Linked DNA regions of Anolis sagrei. Each later gene encodes a partner of the first gene's protein in a complex. Links are inferred from orthologs where the notes say so. Each region holds a gene or a part of one and is shown in the gene's direction. Other genes may lie near its edges.

What was found.
Region 2: the proteins of CAST (region 1) and calpain small subunit 1 are in contact, whole or in part, in a crystal structure (PDB 3BOW), measured with the Rattus norvegicus proteins. The link is inferred for Anolis sagrei from reciprocal best matches to the Homo sapiens genes CAST and CAPNS1. Residues at the interface, in NP_445747.2 of Rattus norvegicus: Pro652, Ile653, Asp654, Ala655, Leu656, Ser657, Asp659, Leu660, Asp661; in NP_058814.1 of Rattus norvegicus: Phe103, Leu106, Gln109, Leu110, Ile125, Lys128, Val129, Arg132, His133, Leu136, Phe166, Trp170, Lys174, Gln177, Lys181.

Annotation. Positions count from the first base shown.
Region 1 is NC_090022.1:252,934,902-252,944,226, reverse strand, and holds the start of CAST (calpastatin), read left to right. Parts: upstream 1-4,911; 5' UTR 4,912-5,195; coding exon 5,196-5,246; intron 5,247-9,325.
Region 2 is NC_090035.1:78,029,139-78,038,993, forward strand, and holds the start of calpain small subunit 1, read left to right. Parts: upstream 1-6,072; 5' UTR 6,073-6,200; intron 6,201-9,855. UniProt on the Homo sapiens protein: Regulatory subunit of the calcium-regulated non-lysosomal thiol-protease which catalyzes limited proteolysis of substrates involved in cytoskeletal remodeling and signal transduction. Essential for embryonic development.

The DNA of each region.
Region 1 (9,325 bases):
ACTCAGGTTGTATTAAACCACAGGCCTGTGCTGGGAGTGGTTACTAGAATAATACCTGCATTTCAGCTGAGAATGTACATTTCATCTACACAGGATGCCCTTGCATTTCCTGCTGGGTGACCTTGCATTTGGAATTGTCCCTGCCTGGACATGTGCTTCCCATGGGGACCACCTGGTTTTAAATCCTTGGATTATCTTGACCTGGCTTCTATAGCTATTCCTGAGTTGGTTTTGTCTGAAGTGAAAGAACAGTTCTGACATTTAGACAACTAAGAATTTCATCCTCAAATAAACACCAGACTTAAGTCTGTACTTAAATGTAAGCATCCAGTTTGCCTCACCTCATTTTTATTATAATCTTAAATAATTAGGATTTGAATTTTACTGCCATTTGTCCTCATTTTATCCTCCCTTCCTCTACTTGTGTTTGTGTGCATCTGTCTCTAGTCCACAAAGGTTTATATTAAAATAACACAGTGGTTCTATATACTCATGGCACTTAAATGTGGCAACAAGGCTTACTTTTACATATGTATGTCACAGGGAATTGGATAGATTCTCCAACTGTCCTAATCTAGCATGGACAATCCCAATTATCTGTCTCCCCTTTTCAGCTGCTTCTAAAACATCCTAGATTTTTTTATCTCATTCTGCTCTCCTCCTTTATCTTCAGCTTACTTTGATTGCTAAAAACTGAGTTTCAAATCCAAAAGTAGTTCACATTCAGTCAATTTACAGGGAAAAGAGAAGGAAGGGGAAGAATCTTGCCCTTCCCAGTGGATTCAGGCAAAAGCAAACCGCTGCAACCTTTGTCATCATAAACACACTGTGATGTTTCTCGGCCACATATGTCTTAGTTTTCATCTATGAAAAACTGGAGGATATGGAATTATAGTATTATTCTTAAAGGTATACAAGGGGCTTCTTGTTTTGTTGGACCAAACACAAATGGCCAACCTTCTGAAACATATTTAATTTCAAACATTTTTTCAGTTACTGGAGATAAAAAATATAGTTTCCACTAGAATAATGATTCCCAACCTTTGGTCCTCAAGGTTTTTTGGACTTCAGCTTCCACAGTTCCTAACAGCTGGTAAGCTGGCTGGGATATCTGAGAGTTGAAGTCCAAAACAAGTGAAGGACCAAAGGCTGGGAACTACTGCACTAGAAGAAATCTAGTGTTTATTGTTGTATTGATGTTTTGATGTTAATTAATTGATATTGCTGTTTTAATTGACTAATGATCTGTTTTGTACTGTTGAATTGGTTGTTAACCGCTCTGAGTCGCCTGAGGGCTGAGAAGAGCGGTATACAAGTGTATATTTGTTCATATTTGTTGTGAACCGCTGTGAGTCGCCTTCGGCCTGAGAACAGCGGTATATAAGTAAGGTAAATAAATAAATAAGTAAGTAAGTAAGTAAATAAATAAATAAATCTTCATTGAGAATGGACATTTGGCATACTTGCTTGAGAGCAAAAAGACTACTTTTCTGGTCTAGAAACCAGTGGCTCTAAGGCAGCGTTTCTCAACCTGGGGCTCGGGACCCCTGGGGGGATTGCGAGGGGGTGTCAGAGGGATCGCTAAAGACCATCAGAAAACACAGTATTTTCTGTTGGTTATGGGAGTTCTATGTGGGAATTTTGGCCCAATTCTATTGTTGGTGGGGTGCAGAATGCTCTTTGATTGTAGGTGAACTATAAATCCCAGCAACTACAACTCCCAAATGTCAAGGTCTATTTTCTCCAAACTCCACCAGTGTTCACATTTGGACATATTGAGTATTTGTGCCAAGTTTGGACCAGACCCATCATTGTTTGCATCCACACTGCTCTCTGGATTCAGGTGAACTACAACTCCAAAATTCAAGGTCAATATCCACCAAACCCTACCAGTATTTTCTGTTGGCAGTGAGAACTCCGTATGCCAAGTTTGGTTCAATTCCATCATTGGTAGTGTTCAGAATGCTCTTTTATTGTAGGTTAACTATAAATCCCAGCAACTATAACTCCCAAATGACAAAATCAATCCCTGCCAACCCCATCAATATCCAAATTTGAATGTATTGGGTATTTGTGCCAAATTTGGTCCAGTGAATGAAAATACATCCTGCATATCAGATATTTACATTACATTTCATAATAGTAGCAAAATTACAGTTATGAAGTAGCAATGAAAATAATTTTATGGTTGGGGGTCACCACAACATGAGGAACTGTATTAAGAGGTCACAGCATTAGGAAGGTTGAGAACCACTGCTCTGTCATTTAAGATAAGACTGTCCAGGGAATCCTGAAAGCTTTTCTCCATTTTATTTCATTATTCTTATTGAGGAGAATGAAGCCTTCCTTTCCACATTTTTGCAGCCTTTATAGTAAGGACTAGTATCCTGTGCATTGAACCCTTAGGAATGCAGTATAGTCTAGTTAGACCAGTTGATTGGTGAGATTCAGGCATTGCTTAAAATTGAAATACACACAAAAATACAAGTCATCTGTTTCAAGTAAGGCACACCTTTTCTTCTATTGCCTTCTCTACATTTCTTCACTGTATACCAGTTAATCAGTGCAGTACTTAAGAGCATGAGCTACAGGTTTCAAGTCTCTAATTCAAATTCAACAGTTACATTTGTAGGCAAATTTGTGAAAATCTTTTCCAGTTAATGGCCCAAATCCTTTTGTTTTTGTATTATGATTTGTTGTTCTGTGTTGTTTTGGTTGTTATTATTACAGGTATCGGGTATAATTCTTCAAGAGATCGATATACCATATATACTCGAGTATAAGTCGATTCAAATATAAGCCGAGACACCTAGTTTTACCAAAGAAAATTGGGGAAACGTATTGACTCGGTTATAAGCTGAGTCTGGGAAATGCAGCAGCTACTGGTAAATTTCAAAATAAAAATAGAGACCAATAAAATTACATTAATTGAGGCATCAGCAGGTTAAATGTTTTTGAATATTTACATAAAACTGTAATTTAAGATAAGACTGTCCAGCTCTGATTAAACCATTCTTCTTCTTAAATGTAAATGTGCTTATGTATCCTTCCAATAATAATAATATAAATAATAAATGTAATAAAAATAACAGTAATACAGTAAAATAATGGAAATGTAATAAAAACAGTAAAATACAGTAAAATAATAAATGTAATAATAATAATAGAATAAAATAAGAAATTCAATATAATAATAATAATAATAATAAAGAGTAAAATAACAACAACAGAGTAAAATCATAAATAACATTTACTCGAGTATAAGCCGAGGGGGGCTTTTTCAGCCTAAAAAAAGAGCTGAAATATCCAGCTTATACTTAAATATATACGGCAGTCTTGCTTGCTCTTATTTTTTTCTTGCTCTCTCTCTCTCTCAACAGGAAGGAAATACTCTTCTGCTATTATTCCTCTAGGCTCTCATTAAATAATTGGGAAATTATTGTTTTTATGGCTTAAGTTATTGTTTTATAATTATAACAGAATGCATTAAAATATTTATTGTAAACTGCCTTGGGAATATTTTTTCTAGATGTTCTTTCACTGTGAGAGTCTTCAAAAAGATGCACAGGTTGCCTGTCTGTGTTGGAAATCAATTCAAAATGCCGGCATTAACTTTTATAGTACGCGGGTGGGTCAAAACGTTTTGCCTCCCATGACATAAAAACATTATGAATGAACATATAATAGCAGAGGTTGCTACAGACCATAGCCTGAACTGTCCTCTACACAAAACGACCGTTCAACATAGTCACCATCCATTTTTACACATTTGTGCCATCGTTAACTTTGAACAGGAATCCCATTGTCATTCTCTGCATCAATAGCAACCTCATCATTAGAACCTCATTGTCATTCCCAACATCCAGACTACCCTGATCATTAGACACAATCACAGGCTGAACTCCAACAGTAATAGGCAGTAAGAGCACCTAAAGCTTCGGAGAGCTTCTGTTCAACCATTACAAAGCTCCTTTCTTGGGTGGTGATGGCACAATCATCAGCATAGATTAAACTCTGTTCCATCTGGCAGTGGCTGATCATTTGTGTAAATGTTAAACACTGATGGAACAAGCACGCTTTCAAGGCAGGCCATTCTTCTGTTTTCACTACCTGCTTCTTTGCCTGAAGGGGAAAAAGGAAGGGTCCTGAGCAGGCCTGTAGCCAGGATTTCGATTGGGGGGGGGGGGGGGGGCTGAGTTTTTTTCAAGGGGGAGGGGTTCGGGGGGGCTGAGTCTGACTGAAAGAGGGTCTATTCTAGCAAACCTTTTGTATCATTACCCCAATACCCCCCCCCCCCCATGCATGTGGGATATATTGAGCATGGTGATCAGATCATTATATGAATAAACATAACAGTTTAAATAATGCACCAGTAAGGCCTTTTCGCGAACCACCATGAGCATTTCGGAGGGGGGGGGGGGGCTGAAGCCCCTCAAGCCCCCCCCCCCCCCCCGGCCCGGCTACATGCCTGGTCCTGAGACGGCTGATAGGAATGGTGGGAGTTGAAGTCCAAAACACCTGGAGAGCCGAAGTTTGTCCATGCCTGGTGTAGCTGCACCCTGAGTTAGTGCTTGGCTATGGGAAGCCACACAACAACAGCCATAGAGCAAAAATAACTTGTGTGCTTTGGACTTGTAGGTTGATGCTTCAGACTGTGTGTTCAGACTCTTTATCTACGATTACTGGCTCTAATGATGAGGAAACCTTGTTGTGCCTGATAAGAGAGAGCAGGCCGAAAGCCCGGGCTGGCCAAAGGAGCAATCCGAAGGGCGAGGCGGTTCGGCTCTGTCCCAAAGTTTTGAGTGATAGATGGGCTTTTAAGCTCTCTCCAAACAAGAGGCAACGGAACCTCCCCTAAAAGGGCTCCGGGAGTTTGCCTAAGTCTCAAGCGTGTCTTGGCAAACAAGGAGCCTGGTGCCCAGCCCGCCTTTGGGGGTGTCCTCCTGGCCCTTCCACTCCTCCCTCCGGCCCACGAAACCCGGCGGGCCCCAGGAATGCGGGGCTGGGTGGGAGTTTCTCTCTGCAGGAAGAGGAGGGACTTGGGTGGCTCCGCAGCTGGCCTGGGCACTGGAGGGGAGCGACGGGGGGCTCCGTCGGAAAAGCTGCCTCACCGCCGCTGCCCTCCTCCTCCTCCTCCTCCGCCTCTCCCTTTGGCACCCTAAGCAGGCCCAGAAGAAGGAGCACACGCAGCCACCATGTCGCAGCCCACGAAGGGAAAGAAACACGCCGCCAAGGCTGGCAAGACGGTGAGTGCGAGCGGGGAGGGACGGGGCTCTCCGCGGCTCCTCTTGCGGGGATTTGAAGGCTTTTGTGCCTGTGTCAGAGGCAGAGATCTGCCCACTCGCTGGGCTGGGCTGGGACGGGCAGCGCTCCAAGGCAGAGAACTTGAGTGCGCCTGCACTGCTCAGTTAATGCGCTTCGATACCACTTGAGCTGCCCTGGCTCAGTGCTGTAGGATCGTGGCAGTTGTCTTCCTCTTTTCCCTTCTTCCTCCCTAAACTGCAGGGTGGGCCAAAAGTCCCCAAAGTTAGGTAACTTTTTGAAAACGTTTTCCTGAAAGTTAAATGTCTTAATGCCTAATTATTTCCTATCCATACAATACATTGGGATTGTAAATCTAAAGCAATACATTATTATTATTATTATTATTATTATTATTATTATTCATTTCCAGTATTTCTATCCAGTCTTTTCTCAACTCAGGGCGGCTTACACCGGCAACGATTCAATGCCGCAACAAACAAACAATATAAAGAATTATAACAATAATTTAAAAACCATAAATTGAATTAAAAACAATATAAGCAAGATTGTCAAACCATATAGTCATTAAATAAATAAATAAAGCTGTTACTGAATATTGACATTGCATAACATTGAGTCCTGGCAATTCAAGTAGTGTCAAACTGATTCTACAGCAGGCATGGGCAAACTTCGGCCCTCCGGGTGTTTTGGACTTCAACTCCCACAATTCCAACAGCGTATCAGCTGTTAGGAATTGTGGGAGTTGAAGTCCAAAACACCCAGAGGGCCGAAGTTTGCCCACGCCTGTTTTACAGTGTAATAAATGCATCCCTAAATGCATGTTATAGGTCAGTGGTTCTCAACCTTCCTAATGCCCTGAACTCTTAATACAGTTCCTCATGTTGTGGCGACTCCCAACCATAAAATTATTTTCATTGCTACTTCATAACTGTAATTTTGCTACTGTTATGAATCGTAATGTAAATATCTGATATGCAGGATATTCACTGAACAAAATTTGGCATAAATACCCGATACGCCCAAATTTGAATACCGGTGTGGTTGGAAAGGGATTGGTTTTGTCATTTGGGAGTTATAGTTGCTGGGATTTATAATTCACCTACAATCAAAGAGCATTTTGAACTCCACCAATGATGACATTGAACCAAACTTGGCACACAGAACTCCCATGACTGACAAAAAATACTGGAAGGGTTTGGTGGGCACCTATTGAAGTTGTAGTTTATCTACATGCAGAGAGCACTGTGGACTCAAGCAATGATGGCTCTGGACCAAACATAGCAAAAATACTCAATATGCACAAATGTGAACACTGGTGCAGTTTGGGGAAAACAGACCTGGACATTTGGGAGTTGTAGTTGCTGGGATTTATAGTTCACCTACAATCAAAGAGCCTCTTGAACCCCACCAATGATAGAATTGGGCCAAACTTCCCACACAGAACTCCCATGACCAACAGAAACTACTGTTTTCCTATGGTCCCCTTTGATACCCCTTCACAACCCCCCAGGGGTCCCAACCCCCCAGCTTGATAAATGCTGTTATAGGTGGTAAATGCATGTTATAGGTGGGTTTGGGGATGTACAGGGCTCTGCATTGTGGAATCTCTCATCTCCTACAATCCTGCACCTAAAGATGTGGGAATGGGGCCCTGTGTCATGTCTATCCATGCCAGATTGAATGTGGAAAGGATGAGGTGACAGACTTCAGGCCCCTCCAGATATTTTGAATGTCCTCTGAACCAAATCCACTGCCTGGATAAAAATTCGCAGATTCCAAAGTTTTGTCCTCCTGGTGCCTTGGACTCCCAAATTCCTGATAATCTTCCAACTGGGCTGGAGCTTCTGGGAGTCCACATTTATTTTTTTAATTATTGTGTCAGAAGCAAATAGAGAATATACTTCAAGTCACTTCTGGTGTGAGAGAATTGACTGTCTGCATGGACGTTGCCCAGGGGACAGCCGGATGTGTTACCATCCTGTGGGAGACTTCTCTCATGTCCCCAGATGGGAAGCTGGGGCTGACAGATTGAAGCTCACTCCATCTCGTGGATTCAAACCACCAACCTTCAGGTCAGCAGTTTGACCCATTGCACCACAGCGGCTCCTTGATGTCCACATCTATGATGACCGTTTAATGCAGTTTGAAGGCAGCTGGATAGTACAGTGTTTATGGTGCATGCCTTGCAGCTCACTTCAAGGGCTTTAAATCAAGGATGCATCTATATCAGGCATGGGCAAACTTGGGCCCTCCAGGTGTTTTGGACTTCAACTCCCACAATTCCTAACAGCCAAGTGGCTGTTAGGAATTGTGGGAGTTGAAGTCCAAAACACCTGGAGGGCCCAAGTTTGCCCATGCTAGATTTGTACAATGAATGCCGTTTGGCTCCACTTGAACTGCTGTTATTCAATGCTGTGGAGTGGTCACTTAGGGAGGCGCTAGCATTCTTGAACCAAGAAAACTATAATTGCCCAGACTGAGCTATGGCTGTTAAAGATGTGTCAAACCGCATTCAATCTACAATGTACAAGATTGCACATACGTAGATGCACCCTGAGATAAGGAAAGTCAGAGCATACTCCGAAATAGAGCCCTTAACACACTTCAGCATGCCTGAGTGTACATCGCATTGCATGGCGAAACCGATTGAGGGCTCTGTCAGTCAGCACAGATTGGCAGAGCCCTCCGCAGTTGTGAAGTCATAGATCTTGTGGATCTTTAACTGGTTCGAGGTCAGCCTCTGCATTGCATATGTGTATAAGCACCATCCAGGCTTAAAAGCTGGACTTCATATGTCGTCATCTGGAAATTGGAACCACTTCCTTCTCGGCTGGTTTCACAGTGGCCTAAGTGGTCAGTGTGGGTGTGCCACCAAGTATCTGGAAGATGAGGCTAGAATAGATCTGATGGGACTCAGTGTCCAAAAAACAAACAGCCCAACAACTGGACAGCTACAAATGTCCTATATTTGTTTGTGTTTTTCTTAAACTCTCATTCGATCTATCTAGTCTGGCCACTGGTAAGTGGATCTGTAGATGAACGTAATGAAATGGGAAAAAAGAACATGGTAGTTCCCACCTTCCTTTTAAGGACTATAGGTGATGATTACTATATGTATATCCAGATCACAGTGAGGTCTTCTACACATTGCTGGGCTTGCTGTTGTATTCCTTGGTCATTTCCAATTTATTATAATTTGATACACAAGATTAGTACACAGCAAACAAGATCGCTATGCTGGCTTTTATATTCGATCACACATTGGACACTTCTCCAGTGTCTAGGGAGGAGCCTTTAACAGCCGCACTAAACTACAAACCCCAAAATTCTGCAGGAGGCCGAAACCGGATTTAAAGTGGATTCATTCTCTAGCTTGATGAAGTAGTAGGATGGCAAATAATGCGTGCAGATCCAAGAAGGGTGGCCTTTTGCAGCTGACAGATTGTAATTTTGTTAGCGCTGATTGTTTTTAAGTGCAGGCCAAGGTCTTTAGGCACTGCACCCAGTGTGCCGATCACCACTGGGACCACTTTTACAGGCTTGTGCCAGAGTTTTTGCATATTGCTGGGTTTGTTGTTGCATTCCTTTAAGTCATTTCCTACTTATTATTATTATTTATTCATTTTTATCCCACTTTTCTCCCATGGGTGGGGACTCAACGCGGCTTATGGTCTATCTATCACATGGTTTTCTTGGCAAGATTTGTTCAGAGAAGGTTTGCCTTTGCCTTCTTCTGAGTCTGAGAGTGTGTCACTTGACCAAGGTCACCCAGTGGTTTTCTAGAGCCAAGTGAGCATTCGAACATTCATGTCCCAGTGTTCTAGTCCAACACCAGCACCATTCCACCATGCTGTTTCTCGCAATTCATTTATTATTTATGTTATTTATTTCATGCATTTCTACCCTGCCCTTCTCCCCCAAAAGGGGACTCAGGGCAGCCTCACACAAGCACCATACAATGCTATCAACATGTAAAACAACCCAAAATACATTAAAGACATTGAAAATCATTTAAAATATTATACAATTCATTAAAACAGTAACTTAAACATGCCAGTTA
Region 2 (9,855 bases), on another chromosome or scaffold:
GCAATGTCCAGTCTCGATAAAATAGTGAAGAGTAGAGACATCAGACTGGCAACAAAGATCCGCCTAGTCAAAGCCATGGTATTCCCTGTAGTCACCTACGGATGTGAGAGCTGGACCTTCGGGAAGGCTGAGCGAAGGAAGATCGATGCTTTTGAGCTGTGGTGCTGGAGGAAAGTGCTGAGAGTGCCTTGGACTGCGAGAAGATCCAACCAGTCCATCCTCCAGGAAATAAAGCCCGACTGCTCACTGGAGGGAAAGATACTGGAGACAAAGTTGAAGTACTTTGGCCACATCATGAGGAGACAGGAAAGCCTAGAGAAGACAATTATGCTGGGGAAAGTGGAAGGCAAAAGGAAGAGGGGGCGACCAAGGGCAAGATGGATGGATGGCATCCTTGAAGTGACTGGACTGACCTTGAGGGAGCTGGGGGTGGTAACGGCCGACAGGGAGCTCTGGCGTAGGCTGGTCCATGAGGTCACGAAGAGTCGGAGACGACTGAACGAATGAACAACAACAATTATACTCTATTATATTTTAAGAAATATTATAAATAATATCTAATATATTATTAGTATAACATGATATTAGTATTCTATATTATACTGTATTATATTTTAAGTAATATTATAAATAATATCTAATATATTATTAGTATAGCATGATATTAGCATTATATATTATACTATATTATACAATATATTTTTAGTACAGCATAATATTAGTATTTTATATTATACTATATTGTAAGTAGTATTATAGATAATATCTAATACATTTTTAGTATAGCATAATATTAGTATTATATATTATACTGTATTATATTTTAAGTAATATTATAAATAATATGTAATATATTATTAGTATAACATGATATTACTATTATATATTATACTGTATTATACAATATATTTTAGTACAGCATAATATTAGTATTAAATATTATACTGTATTATTTTATAAGTAGTATTATAGATAATATCTAATACATTATTACTCTATTTATCACTATTTATTATTTACAGCATTTATATTCCGTAACGTTAGTATATAATATTATATTATATACTAATGTAATATTGGTATATTATATATAATACTATTATGTTATAAAATATAATCTATTATATAATATATACAATATATTCCATAATATTAGTATAATATTCCATAATATCAGTATAGCACAATATTAGTATTATCTATTATACAGTATTATATTATTAGTACTATAAATAATATCTAATATATTATTAGTATAGCATAATATTAGTATTATACATTATACTGTATTATAAGTAATATTATAAATAATATCTAATATATTATTAGTATAACATGATATTAATATTATATATTATACCGTATTATTTTATAGGTAGTATTATAGCTAATATCTAATATATTATTAGTATTGTTGTTGTTGTTCATTCGTTCAGTCGTCTCCGACTCTTCGTGACCTCATGGACCAGTCCATGCCAGAGCTCCCTGTCGGCCGTCACCACCCGCAGCCCCTTCCAGGTCAGTCCAGTCACTTCAAGGATGCCATCCATCCATCTTGCCCTTGGTTGGCCCCTCTTCCTTTTGCCTTCCACTTTCCCCAGCATCATTCCCTTCTCTAGGCTTGGCTGTCTCCTCATGATGTGGCCAAAGGACTTCCACTTTGTCTCTCGTCTCCTTCCCTCCAGTGAGCAGCCGGGCTTTCTTTCCTGGAGGATGGACTGGTTGGATCTTCTCGCAGTCCAAGGCACTCTCAGCACTTTCCTCCATCACCACAGCTCAAAAGCATCTCTCGTCCTTCGCTCAGCCTTCCCTCAGGTCCAGCTCTCACCTCCATAGGTGACTACAGGGAAGACCATGGCTTGGACTAGGCAATGGATCTTGGTTGCCAGTCTGATGTCTCTACTCTTGACTATTTTATCGAGATTGGACATTGCTCTCCTTCCCAAGAAGGAAGCATCTCCTGATTTCCTGGCCACAGTCTGCATCTGCACTCATCTTTGCGCCTAGAATATTATTAGTATAGCATAATATTAGTATTATATATTACACTGTATTATATTATAAGTAGTGTTATAGATAATATCTAATACATTATTAGTATAGCATAATATTAGTATTATATATTTTACTGTTTTATATTATAAGTAGTATTATAAATAATATCTACTATATTATTAGTATAACATGATATTAGTATTATATATTATACTGTATTATAAGTAGTATTATAAATATCTAAGATATTATTAGTAAAACATAATTTTAATATTGTATGTTATACTGTATTATATTATAAGTAGTTTTATAGATAATATCTAATATATTATTAGTATACCATAATATTAGTATTATACATTATACTGTATTATAAGTAATATTATGAATAATATCTAATATATTATTAGTATAACATGATATTAATATTATAGATTATACTGTATTATAAGTAGTGTTATAAATATCTAAAATACTATTAGTAAAACATAATTTTAGTATTGTATATTATACTGTATTATATTATATTATAGATAATATGTAACATTAGTATAGCATAACATTAGTATTACATATTATTGCGTTATATTATTACATTGCAATATTATTAGTAATATTATATCTATTAGTATTATATCGCAATGTTATTCTTTCTATATGTTATATTATGTTGCAATATTATTACATTGCAATATTATTAGTAACATTATATCTATTCGTATTATTACATTACAATGTTATTCTTTCTATATATTATTATATTAGGTTGCAATATTATTAATATTGTATAGCATGTATAATATATTATTATATAATATTATTATTATATATTATGTATATGGATTTGAGGCTTCTCTACCAAAGAATCCCAGGATTCTATGGAACGGAGGCATTGGAAGTTAAACCGGATTCAATCTGCATCAATTCCACAGTGTAGATGCACACACCTCCTGGAGTCATATTTCCTGCAATTGGGTGTGCCTTCCCCTTTCCTTTCTCTGGGGCCTTGACACAGAAGCATTCCTTTGATCTGAATCAGACTGGCCTGGGATTTTTTCTCGGCCTCTGGAGCTGAAGATCCTTTTCATCCCAAACTGGCAAAGCAGGTTCAAAACCAGGAAGAGCTGCAAGAAATATATATATATTTGCAGAAGATCAATGGAGCAAGACCTTTCTCCGCCTTAGATAAACTATGGGGAACAGAGGCTGGGGCCCCTTCTACACTGCCATATACAATGCAGAGTATCTGCATTGAACTGGAGTATTCGGCAGTGTAGACTAGACATGGGCCAATTTATGCCCTCCAGGAGTTTTGGACTTCAACTCTCCATTCCTATTGTAGAACTACAACTCCCAGGATTCAATACTATTGAGCCCTGGGAGTTGAAATAATATATAATTACTAGCTGTCCCCTGCCACGTGTTGCTGTGGCCCAGTCTGTGTATATGTGTTTGTATGTGTATTTATTTGTGTATATGTGTATATATGTGGTTTTGTGCATGCATTGTAATGTATTTCTTACTTTTTGGTTTTTTAAGTCCCTTCTATTGTGTTTTTCAGTGTTTTTATGAGTGATGGTCACTCGTTGGCCTGAGAGGTGTCATGTGTCCAAATTTGGTGTCAAATCATCCAGTGGTTTTTGAGTTACATTAATCCCACAAACAATCATTACATTTTTATTTATATAGATGCCCCCCCCTCTATATATAGAGAGAGGGGGGGGGGCATCTATATAAATATACACACTTTATTTATGTATTTATTTACAGCTTTTATATTCCGCCCTCCTCACCCCGCAGGGGACTCAGGGTGGATTACAGTGTACACATATATGGCAAACATTCAATGCCAATTTTTGACATACAAACATATACAGACATACACAGAGGCTATTTAACTTTTTCTGGCCGCCAGGGAGCTGTCGCTTTCCTCGTCCATCTGCGACGCTGATGAAGCACTTCCGCATTCCCCGCATGTTTCCCCGCTGGAATGCTTTGCTGGAGTCTTCTTTATGGCCTCATAAATCAGTTAATTTAGCCTCCCCACACTTTTAAGGTGGTACCTTATTTTCCTACTTGACAGATGCAACTGTCTTTCGGGTTGCAAAGGTCGACAACAGGCTACACACAATTTGTTGGAAACCCACTCCAACCCGGGCTGGCTTCGAACTCATGACCTTTTGGTCAGAGTGATCTTAATGCAGCTGACACTCAGCCAGCTGCGCCACAATAAAAAAAAAGTTAAATAGCCTCTGTATATGTTCGTATGTCAAAAATTGTCATTGAATGTTTGCCCTATATGTGTACCCTGTAATCCGCCCTGAGTCCCCTGCGGGGTGAGAAGGGCGGAATATAAAAGCTGTAAATAAATTAAATAAATAGTTTTCTCAAGTTTGCTCCAAAGTCTATCTATTTATCTATCTATCTATCTATATTGTGTATGTGTGTGTGTGTATTATATATGTGTGTGTGTGTGTGTATGTGCGTATATTATCTATATAAATGTGTGGGAGTTGAAGTCCAAAACTCCTGGAGAGCCCCAGTTTGTCCATTCCTGTTGTAGAACTACAGCTCCCAGGATTCAATACTATTGAGCCCTGTGATTTGAAATAATATATAATTACTAGCTGTCCCTTGCCACGTGTTGCTGTGGCCCAGTCTGTGTATATGTGTTTTCTGTGTGTATACACATTTTACATATATTATATGTGTGTATGTGTGTATACACATATGCATTTTATTGTTTGCACGGCTCTCCTAACAGCATGAAGCCAAAACATAAAATGCATACAATCCAATGCATAGATCGAACACACGACATCAGAAACAGGGTACGAATATCAATGTATAGAGTTGCAATGCAATGCAGATTCAAAACTCATGATGGGTATCATTGGTACCAAAAACAAAACAAAACCGGCATCAAACTGCATTAATTCTGCAGTGGAGACAGGCTTTGGATTCTGAGGCCTGTTTCCTTTAACTTCAATAGAGATAGGGATCTATTCAAATGTGCATTCTTTGTCCTCTTCCTTTCTCTCTCTCTGCTGAATCATAGCTGGCATCCCCCCCCCCCCCCAGTATTCATTTATGCAAATGATGCAGAGCGTAAATAAGGGAAGGAATTGAGAATTGGAAGAACAAACGGTGCATCTATCAACAGGGTTGAGGAACTGCCAGGGCTCAATGCGAGGGCATCTCTGGAAGTTGCACTTTGCAATCGTTGGCGGAGAAGGTGAACAGCCTTGTCAAACTACAACTCTCAGGGAATGCCGTGACAGTCAAACTACAACTCCCAGGGGTGCCATAAATGTCAAACTATAACTTCGAGGGATACCATAACAAACTAAAACTCCCAGATAAACCATAACACTGAAACAACAACTCCTGGAATGCCGTAACACTCAAACTACAACTCCCGGGATGCCATAAGAATCGAACTACAACTCCCAGGGATGCCATAACAAGCTACAACTCTCAAGGATAACATAACACTAAAACTACAACTCCCGGGATGCCATAACAGTCTAACTACATCTCTCGGGGACACCATAATAGTCAAGGACAACTCCCATGATGCCACAAATGCCAAACCATAACACTTAGGATACCTTAACAGTCAAACGATAACTTTTGGGATGCCATAATAATCACACTACAACTCAGGGATGTCATAAATGCCAAACTACAACTCTTAGGGATGCCATAACAGTCAAACTACATCTCCCAGGGATATCATAAATGCCAAACTACAACTCCTAGGGATGCCATAACAAGCAACAACGCCCAGGGATGCCGTAACAGTCAAACTACAAATCCCAGAAAGTCAAACTCCAACTCCCAGGGATGCCCTAACAGCCAAACTACAAATCCCAGAAAGTCAAACTACAACTCCCAGGGATGCCCTAACAGCCAAACTACAAATCCCAGAAAGCCAACCTCCAACTCCCAGGGATGCCCTAACAGTCAAACTGCAAATCCCAGAAAGTCAAACTACAACTCCCAGGGATGCCCTAAGAGTCAAAGGAATGATAACCGGCGGGCGCTAGGACCGCGCGGGAGCCTGGGGAAGGCTTCCCCTCTGCATTGCCTGCCTGCCTTCCTCTCGGGCGTGGTGGATCCCGCAGCAGTCGATTCCTCGGAAAGGAAGCCAGCCTGCCTGCCCGGAAAGGAAGAAGCAGCAACCAAGAGCCGCTCGGAATCGGGTAAGCGGGGGAAAGGGAAAGATCCCACACCCTTAACCACATTTTCCCTCTCCTCCAGTTGGGATCCATAGATCTCCTAAGGGATCCCCTCCCATGAGAGTAGAAGGAAGGAATCCACTTCCTCTGCTGGGCCCAATTCGAGTCTCCCTTCCCTTATTTTTTTTAAGAGATCATGGGATCTTATTCCTTCCCTTTTATGATTATTTTCATATATATTTTAAAATATAGGGATCCCATTGGGATCCTTTTTTCCCATCCACTTTGGGGCCTCTTGGTGGGATCTTTATTCTCTCCGCCCCCCCTCCCCACACGTTGCTACTTTCCGCTATAAAACTCCGTGCCAAGTTCCTAAGAGATCTTTTCCTCCCTTTTCGCTCAAGATCTAGTGGATCCCACTGGATCCCTTATTCTCTTCCCCCCTCCCCGTTGCTACTTTCCGCTATAAAACTCCATGCCAAGTTCCTAAGAGATCTTTTCCTCCCCTTTCGCTCAAGATCTAGTGGATCCCACTGGATCCCTTATTCTCTTCCCCCCTCCCCGTTGCTACTTTCCACCATAAAACTCCGTGCCAAGTTTCTAAGAGATCTTTTCCTCCCTTTTCACTCAAGATATAGTGGATCCACTGGATCCCTTATTCTCTTCCCCCCTCCCCGTTGCTACTTTCCGCTATAAAACTCCGTGCCAAGTTCCTAAGAGATCTTTTCCTCCCTTTTCGCTCAAGGTCTAGTGGATCCACTGGATCCCCACACGGGGGGGGGGGGTGGTGTCTACTGGATCAAACTTTCAAGAGAGATCTCTGTTCCCCCTCTACTGGTGCCTCCCTTTCACTCCAACTCTTCTGTACCCATATGGGATCAACTGGATCTCCGTGGGTCAACTGGATCCAGTTCCTTTTTTCTAATGGCCAACTGTGTATACCACCCTGAGTCGCCTTCGGGCTGAAATGGGCGGGATAGAAATAATGTAAATAAATAAATAATGAAGCCGGATCTACTGAACCAAGTTTCAAAGAGATCCTCGTACCCCTCTGCTGGTTCCTCCTATTTCGCTCCAGACCTACTGGATCTATATGATCCACAGGATTTCTATTGGGGGGGGGGGTCCACAGCATCCAGTTCTTCTTTTCAATGAAACCCACAGATCAAGTTTCAAAGAGATGTTGCCCCCTTTTGCTCCAGATCCACAGGATCTCAGCAAGATCCACATGATCTTCATGGGATCCACTTCATCTCCATAGGTCAGCTGGATCGAATTCTTTTTTCAATGAAGCCAGAGCTACTGGATCAAGTTTCAAAGATATATTTGCCCCCCTCTACTGGCGCCTCCTTTTTTTTGCCACAGACCTACTTGATCCATATGGGATCTTCTGGATCTCCACGTGGTCCATTGGATCCATTTTAATGAAAACCATGGATCTACTGGAGCAAGTTTCAAAGAGATGTTTTCCCTTCCTTTGCTCCAGCTCCACTGGATCTCCCTGTGATCCACTGGATCTCCACAGGATCAACTGTATACCGTTCTTCTTCTAAGGGATTGCCCTCATGTATTTTTTCCACTGCTTCCGCTCCTCCCTTCCCTTCTGCTTCCTCTTCCTGGATCTTTTTTGATATAACACGCCCATTGAGAGAGATCTTAAAGGGGGCATCTACACTGTAGAGCTAATGCGGTTTTGGCACCGCTTGGGCTGCCATGATTCAAGGCTATGGAATCCAGGGAGTTGTCATTTTGGAATTATTATTGATAGAATTATAATTGTGATCAATAGAATCATTACTAGAATTATTATTATTATTAGCATTATTATTACTCTATTAATAGAATATTATTAGAATTATTATTAATTAATAGAGTTATTACTACCTATACCCAGCTTTCTCTCTCCATTTCGCTGCCTCACCAAACTACAACTCCCAAGATGACATAGCATTACTACATTATGACTTTGGATCACCATAAGCAGGATCTACACATTGCAGAATCGATGCAGATTCATATCCCTTGAATGACCATGAATCAATGCTATGGATCCCTGGGATTTGCAATTTGCACCGTTCTGCAGAAAGGCTCCAGAGGCCTTGCAAAACGACAACTCCCAGGAATCCAGAGCAGTGAGTCAGGGCAGCTCGAGTGGTATCAAACTGCAGTGAGTCCCCCTGGTGAGATAGGACGGAATATAAATAAAGTTTTATTATTGTTGTTGTTGTTGTCCAGTGTGGATGGCTCCTTGGCAGAAAATCCTACAGAGAAAAAACTGCAGATCCCAGTTTTTTCTGCAAAGTTGCCATATAATTTTGGAACGAGGAACTAGCCAAACAGAGAGGAATCTGTTGCCAATAAAAAGCAATTAGGGAATTGCAAGCATCTTACTTCCAAATGCCAAAACCCCCTTTGGGGTAGAATAAAGGGTGCATTTACACTGGTTTCTAATTACGCTTGTTTTTTTCCCAATCGCTAATTAATGCCAGCTTATTATTATTATTATTATTATTATCCCCTTTCCCCCCCTCCCAACCGACTAAACCACCTGTTCCTATTCATTCCTAGTTTTCTGCTTCGATGAACATGTTCCAAAGTAAAGCTCAATGCAAACTGTGTGCAAACAGTTGTGTTTTCTTTGTGTGTGGGAGAGACATTCATTGTAATTACACTGAACGATTTCCTTGTCTTGCAACACTTGTGCTTTGAACACGAGACTCTGAAATTTCACTTATGAGATCCATTTTTATTATTAATAATATTATACTATATATTATTATTATACTGACACCACAGTATGTCACAGTAATATTATTATTATTATTATTATTTATATTACACTATATATTATTATTTATTAGTAGCTTGGGCACAAAATGTATAAGGTTATTATTATTATTATTATTATTATTACACTGACACCACAGTATGTCACAGTAAATGAGATCTATATGCTGGATTTTGTATATTATTATTATTATTATTATTATTTATATTATTATTATTATTAATATTATTATACTATATATTATTATTATTCTGACACCACAATATGTCACATTAAATGAGATCTATATGCTGGATTTTGTATATTATTATTATTATTATTATTATTTATATTATTATTATTATTAATATTATTATACTATATATTATTATTATACTGACACCACAGTATGTCACAATAAACTAGATCTATATGCTGGATTTTGTATATTATTATTATTATTTATATTATTATTATTAATATTATTATACTATATATTATTATTATACTGACACCACAGTATGTCACAATAAACTAGATCTATATGCTGGATTTTGTATATTATTATTATTATTTATATTATTATTATTATTAATATTATTATACTATATATTATTATTATACTGACACCACAGTATGTCACAATAAACTAGATCTATATGCTGGATTTTGTATATTATTATTATTATTTATATTATTATTATTAATATTATTATACTATATATTATTATTATACTGACACCACAGTATGTCACAGTAAATGAGATCTATATGCTGGATTTTTTATATTATTTTTATTATTATTATTATTATTGTTATACTATGTATTATCATTTATATTATTATTAATATTATTATTCATATATTATTATTTATTAGTAGCTTGGGTACAAAATGCATAATGTTATTATT